Bombyx mori: one gene and its partner. The protein of the gene in region 1 purifies or fractionates together with the protein of each later gene. This does not show direct contact. Links are inferred from orthologs where the notes say so. Each region holds a gene or a part of one and is shown in the gene's direction. Other genes may lie near its edges.

Region 1 (3,106 bases):
TCCATCTAGACCTAACACAGAGTTTAATGTGTGTTTGATATCTTTTGTGACAGTGAGATCGCTGTAATGAAGTCGGAAAACATTTAGAACTGTTTTAACTGTGTATACAGGGTATACAGGATAATGCGCATATCAAGTTAAAACGCGATATCGCTAATGTAGATCACGTTAAACTTGTTAAAAAAATCACAATTAGTAGGATAGGTAGGTTCATACAAAGGCGGATCCGGGGGGGGGGGGTCATGGGGGTCATGACCCCCCCCTGAGCTGCTTCCAAGACTTAGGTGAACCACTAATTGAACATAATGATTTTATTTATATATTTTGTCACCATACAGATTTTTTGTAACTGCATACCTTCAATATTTAATTAATTTAATATAATACAATAACTTTGTATGATGGCGGAATGAACACATCGAATATTTGACTATGTGACCCCCTCCTGGCGCCAAAGCTGGATCCGCCCTTGGGTTCATAGTCAGTTAGTTACAGAGAGATCACTATAGAAAACTCCTCGCTCTTATTCCAGGGTATGAAGACTCTCACAGATTATGTGCAATTCAAGCTGTTTCCCGCTCAAGAACTACGGCATATATTCAGTGCGGCGTCTGAAGATCTTATATTTTTATTGGAGAGCCTTTTAGCTCTGTACCCGCCAAATCGATGTGATTGCACGCAGGCCTTGCAAATGGCGTATTTTAGGTAAGCTATTTTCATTGATAAATAAGTACTATACAGCGGGCAAAAAATAACTTAGGTATTTCGGTCAGTATTCGTATCGCTTGATGCGAATATGATAGGGTTCATACCAACAACAGTTTTCAAGTTTTCCAAACGAATAAAATATATATCGCTGTAACGAGTTCAGGAAAAACTTCAGGATACAGAACAGGAAAAATTTCGTGTAATCAAAATCCGCTTTTATATGTAGGTTTGTACATCATTGATGGTAGGAAAATCGCTCGCAAGAATCTTTACCTATGTCTTGCCTATTTCTGTATGTGTGAAGCACCCTATAATCCATAATTCTTTCTAAAGTATATTACATTTCGACTGTGTCTTCATGTCGCGAGATGGGTCACACCTGTGGGTTCCGGCAATCACTTGTGGGCTGCCAACCTAGTGAAATAAAACTAACGTGTATAATTAACTGTAAATATAAGTAATGTAACGAAATCATCTTGAGCACCGTCTACTTTATATAAAAATACTCTGAAGAGACATTCATGTGCATTCACTTAAGCGTATAATTATTATAAATGACAGTACCTACAACTGATCGATATGTTTTTTTTATACGACAATGACTTTTCCAAATTCTAATTACAATTTATGAAATATTTTATTAATCATGTGTCCTGCATTGATAAATTTCTTGGATGTTTGTAAAACTAAATAGTTCTATGCCTATTGCAGTAGTAAACCGGCGCCATCGGTCGGCCCTAAGTTACCGATGCCTTCGAATATTTCAAAACTAGAGGTGGAAAAGCCGTCTTTGAAAAGAAAACTCCTGGACAACATTGATGGAGGCTCACTAGCGAAAAGACTACAATTTTAATGTTATTCCAATTTAGTACAATAATTTAAGTGCAATTTAGACAAATAAAAGATGTATGGTTGACTTTGTCATAATTGAACCACTTGGAATGTTTTATTAAAAGGTTGTCGTTGACTAAGAGTAAAAAAGTTGACTGATCTTTTTAAAAATATAATAATTAATAATAGCGACGATCCCTACGTATAAAGCGATATAATAACAAAACAAATTTTAGTGTTTTATAAGAACGCTATAAAGATGCATTTAATATAAATTATATATAATAAAGTATATATATCTTTTTTTTTTATGTTTCAATATACAACTTGTTAAAACGTTTTAGCGGGATATTTTTCAACAAACAAATTTCTCAAAAATTTCTCACCTACGTGGTACGCCGCGTAAAGTAATGTAAAATAATATCAATTAAGTTGAAGTGTGCATTTGCCGTGAATGCAAGTATTTGGCAACCTTACAAGATAATTAAATTTTACAAATATTAAGTTCCAAGTTCTTACGATACGTGCGTTCTACGTAACGTTGGAGCGCATTTAAATACATTTTGGTAAGATTAATAAAGCTCACCGACTGATGTTCTCTTATAATTTGCATTATTTTAAACACATCTTTAAACATTTTAGAGTCGTCGGTGAGCTAATTATACTGAATACTGTAAATAGCCTTGTAGACTAACAATGGAGCAAGTCTGATATTTTTAAATGAATTAGTTGAATACAAGTCACGTTGTCGAATAAATTTGACAAGTTAAATAATACTTTAATATAATACATTAATTTCGAAGTTAATAAAAAATACATTTTTATATAAAACAATTTTGTGAATATGACATTGAAGGAAACATGGGTAAAGCTTGAAGCTTTATTAAAAATAATTATTTAAAAAGTCAAATGAAACATTTTTTTGACATTTTAAAAGTATTCGTTATCATTAAAAAAAATTAGAACAGTTGTTTTAATGTAACACAACTAAGAGTTAAATGTTGGAGCATCGACTTTTAAGTTATAAAATATATATCATTGATATTTTTTTGTTTTATTTATTTTATTAATCCAATTATTATTTTTTCAGAAAAACAGGTCTACTGGTTATTTTCTCGGCAATATTATGAGGTGAAATTTAAATTTAAATTTTAAGTCGGTGAGATGAGAGTTGACTCGTTCCGTAAACATCAAATCACATAAAATTCTGTCTACAAAGATTTAAATCCACAATGAAAATTGTTGAACGACTCCCCAAAAAAGGGTTAAAAGTGTTACCTTTTGAAGGTTTTTTTAAAAAATAGATTTGATTTACTACTTTTGATGACAAGAACGAAAGCTTACTATTTATCGCGGGACAAAACTCCAGCCAAGAAATATCTACATTAAAAAGGTTTTGCACAAGTCCACGAATGAGAAATTAATAAAAAAGAAAGTAATTTCAAATTTAATGCGTATTTTAGGAAAGTAGGCAAATTCAATATTTCTCAATTTAAACAGTCATTTCCTAATTAATAACGTTAGTTGCGCGCACAGCTGGGTTCTGGTGATCGTATCAAAGTATTCA
Region 2 (4,169 bases), on another chromosome or scaffold:
CAAAACTTGCATACGCCCCGTCATGACCTATGCAAGTGTAGTGTTCGCTCACGCGGCCCGCATACACTTGAAATCATTCCAAGTCATTCAATCCCGTTTTTGCAGGATAGCCGTCGGAGCCCCGTGGTTCGTCAGGAACGTCGACCTCCATGACGACCTGGACTTCGAGTCCACCAGTAAGTATATGCAGTCGGCGTCAATGCGCCACTTCGATAAAGCGGCACGACACGAGAACCCTCTCATCGTGGCCGCCGGTAACTACATTCCCGATCCTGCGGACAGAATGGAAAGCAGTCGACGTCGCCCAAAACACGTCATCTCGGATCCTCCCGATCCACTAACGGTGCTTTTAGGTACTTCAAGCACCGGTCACCGTTCTCGTCGAACCCGTCGCTTGCGACGAAGGGCTCGACGAGTAAATTAACTCTTAGACACAGCCCACTGAGTTTCTCGCCGGATCTTCTCAGTGGGTCGCGTTTCCGATCCGGTGGTAGATTCTGCGAAGCACGGCTCTTGCTAGGGTTCGTGTTAGCAACATCGTCAGGTTTGAGCCCCGTGAGCTCACCTACAAAAGTTAGGGTTACGCTGATATAGCCTCTCAAGGCTCTCAGCTTAGGCAGGAAAAAAAAAAAAAAAAAAAAAAAAAAAAAAGAATGATTTAGAACCAGCAGACTTCAGAAATGATCTACGAATGGATTCGAGGTCGTTTGACCAAATATTAAGCCTTGTGGCACAATTTTTTTCAAAAGCAGGATACTATCCTACGATACTACTATAGTCTATTATATATCTATATTATATAACTATTACATATCTAATCCTACGATAGTATAAGTCCAAAAGAAAGATTGGTTGTAACATTAAGATTTCTTGCAACAGGAAATTCGTATCAAGATTTAATTTTTAGTTCTTTATAATATCCCAACCCCTTCTGACAAAAATTATCCCTGAAACAAGTTGGGCTATTTATAAATGTTTGGCACATTTAATAAAGGTGAGCGAAATAAATACTTTTTATTCGGAAGTAAAAAACAAACTAAGCCGTCCTTACGCACGGAGAGCTATGGGACGACTGAAATCATTAAGTAACTAAATGCGATTACACCTTCTTATATGCGTTTCTAATTAGGCTTCTAAATGATTTAGTCAGTCAGAAACCATCCTTGCTACTGAATTTAGCAGGTTAACTTACTGAATGCTATTACACCGACTAAATTTAGCAAAGTGTAATGAGCCTTCCACACTTACCCATAAATAATAGATATTAAGTGTATAGTCTATGAATAATAGTTTATAATAGTAATAGTATTCTGTATAACCTATGGTATCTACTGAAAGTAGGGAGTAAATAGGTACCTACATACTTTATTTACAATTAATTATTACATAAAGTGACAAGTTCTAAAACAATGAACCATGGTGAATGTAATGAAAGGTGTCCTCGTTGAATGGTATTTATTATTTTTATTTCTCACAAATATTACTTTTACATATGCAAACTTACAGATAAAGTTAGAATCGTTACAATGTGCTTTAATGATTTGAATTTTAAATTACATCAGTTAATCAATTTACTACGTACAATATATTAACTTGCCAAAGAATTTCTTCTTTGGTTTTTCCCATACTTAAATTTAATGTTCTGGGCCTAGGTTATGAGGAATGCCTTGTATATAAAACTTCATTCAATGTAATCCATATCTTTAGGTATGTTAAAATTTTCTTCTAGTGCATCAATATCTATTTGAAAACTATTTTTTATATAAGATTTCAATATATATACATTTTCTGTCCATCTGTTGCTGGCTGTTTTCAATTCCTACAAAATGAAACATTTTTAATCCAATATTATTATTTGATAATATTATAGTTATGTCTTTGGTTATACATACTACCACCTACAGAAAGCTATTTATCAAAACATAGTATTTTTTTAAATGTACTTTGTTTTCCTTATTTTTAAATAATGAATACAATGCTTAATTAATATACTGATAAGTTATATTGAGTAATATTACCCACCAAATAATAAAATATATATTTTCTAGCATGAAATAGACATGTTAGACTTAAAAGTCATTACCAGTTGTAAGCTCATACAGTTTTGTCATTCTGCCTACATCTGCCAAAAAAAATATACACATTCCAGTTTGATCAGTTCACTTGGCCTTTATGAAATATAATAGTAACTGATCTAATGTGTGCAATATTAAAGTGGGTAGCAGAAGTCACATTGTGATACCTATCAACTTCAGTAACTTACTTAACACTTCAGAAACACTAAATACTATACTACTATAGAAAGGCCATGAACTGATTCATCAATTACTAAATCCTTAAACTTGGGACATTGGCCTTATCTATTGCGCTCACAGTGGGGCGCTAATATGAGCTTGAATGGAATATAGACCTTAAGACATCATCTCATCTACATTAATATAAGAATTGGATTTACAGTTATTTCACGTCTCAGTTGTGCAATATATTCAGGATCAGATTCTCTGTATTTTTGTAATTCTCTCTTATATGAAGCCTCTTGCTTTTGAAGATCTTCTAAAGATGATAATATTTTTATTCTTTCTTCAGATATCTCTCTGCCTTTCTAATATTAAAGTCAATTAATAAATATATCAGTCTCTGATAAATATAGAATAGAATTAAGTTTCATTATAACTCTATAGACTATACTATACTAAGTAAAAAACTATAAATATTCTGACCGATTCTGCTATAAGGACTTCCTCAGTTTTCTTTAACTTCTTCGTACATTCATCAAATTCATTCTGGAGTTCTTGTAGCTTCCTCTTCTTGGTACTTTTTGCTTTGCTACAAGTAATTTATTTAATGTTTGCATGGCATTACCACAGCTTGCTTGATTTGAAAAATAATTTTGCAGTCATAAATTTTTAAAAAGCACAATTGTTTACTCTTAATTTCTCATAGCATCAGTGTGTAAAGTCCATGTAAATTTTATTATTCAAAATAATAAAACTAGTCTTAGTCAATGACTGACTCGGTGGTGCAAAAGTTGGCACCCCTGACTGCCGAAAGTTGTGGATTCGATTCCCATATTGGGCAAAAATTTATTCATTCAGCTTTACTGCTTACATGAGTCCACCTGGTTTTACATGGTAACCGAAGCCCATAGACATTACAACATAAATGCTGCCACCTGCCTTGAGACAAGATTTCTAAGGTCTCAGTTGTAACAGCATGATGACCTAACACCCTTCAAACCGAAATAAATAACTGCTTAATGGCAGAAATAGGCCAGATTTGACGCCAGATGATAATGTACTGTTCTGTTCCCAGTTATTTAGTTAGTTGTTTAACATAGTACCTTGGGAAAGACCAAAAGTACACTGAAGTCCCAATTTTTTCAGAATCAACCAGGTGATCATCAATTAGACTCTGAATCACTTCTTTAACTGATTGCATTGTAATACCCTTTTCTTTTGGTGCTATTTTTTCTAGTTCCTGTAAAAGTTAAAATATAAAATATTATCTTAATAGATTTTGTTATGGCCACTTCTGTTTTATGTGCTGTCTAAACATTTTCTTTTGAACTAATTATTGACTATTTGGTGACTCAACTAACATGATCACCAACAAATAAGAAATTGGACTCCTACCAAGTAAGTCAAATGATGAGTAAACATTCGTGAAAACTTCATTTATTATTACTTTGCTCTCAATTAATTAAAAAACGACCTTGCATTGCTAGTAAGTAAGAAACTCCAGACACTATTTCACACTGTCTCATTTATCCTAAATAAGAGATATATTTTATTGCTTAGTTGAGTGGAAGAGCTTAATACCCACCCCTGGTGTATGTGATTAGGTTACTGGAGTCAACAGACATCACAATGTATGTGCCACCCATCAGTATTATCAGATTTCATTAATTATTTATTGTGAAAGTCATTTATAAACATGTTTAATTACAAAGTTCATTACTAAAATTGGCACCTAACCGCTGGGTTTAAACATTGCTATAATAATACTGTTTAATATGAGTACATCTGGCATCTTATCGTTTAGGGCAGAGTGACATCGAAAGCTATGTATGAAGTTGTAATTTAATGAGGTTACCTTTAATTGAAAAAAATCTTGACTTTGATGGAATATTTCAAGCATTCTGGTCTTCTTTTCATCAGCACTAAGACCTC

What was found. The genes of interacting proteins can lie anywhere in the genome.
Region 2: the proteins of Cdk7 (region 1) and general transcription factor IIH subunit 5 purify together in Homo sapiens (affinity purification with mass spectrometry; 7 studies listed by BioGRID and IntAct, with this or other methods). This does not show direct contact. The link is inferred for Bombyx mori from reciprocal best matches to the Homo sapiens genes CDK7 and GTF2H5.

What each region holds. Positions count from the first base shown.
Region 1 is NC_085127.1:9,225,619-9,228,724, forward strand, and holds the end of Cdk7 (cyclin dependent kinase 7), read left to right. Parts: intron 1-532; coding exon 533-705; intron 706-1,419; coding exon 1,420-1,561; 3' UTR 1,562-2,586; downstream 2,587-3,106. Other genes in the region: tubulin polyglutamylase TTLL13, read right to left, coding at 3,040-3,106. UniProt on the Homo sapiens protein: Serine/threonine kinase involved in cell cycle control and in RNA polymerase II-mediated RNA transcription. Cyclin-dependent kinases (CDKs) are activated by the binding to a cyclin and mediate the progression through the cell cycle.
Region 2 is NC_085109.1:11,979,574-11,983,742, forward strand, and holds the start of general transcription factor IIH subunit 5, read left to right. Parts: upstream 1-1,289; 5' UTR 1,290-1,416; coding exon 1,417-1,451; exon of another isoform or gene 1,452-1,681; coding exon of another isoform or gene 1,682-1,819; intron 1,820-2,455; coding exon of another isoform or gene 2,456-2,602; intron 2,603-2,720; coding exon of another isoform or gene 2,721-2,826; intron 2,827-3,340; coding exon of another isoform or gene 3,341-3,477; intron 3,478-4,092; coding exon of another isoform or gene 4,093-4,169. Other genes in the region: meiotic nuclear division protein 1 homolog, read right to left, coding at 1,682-1,819, 2,456-2,602, 2,721-2,826, 3,341-3,477, 4,093-4,169. UniProt on the Homo sapiens protein: Component of the general transcription and DNA repair factor IIH (TFIIH) core complex, which is involved in general and transcription-coupled nucleotide excision repair (NER) of damaged DNA and, when complexed to CAK, in RNA transcription by RNA polymerase II.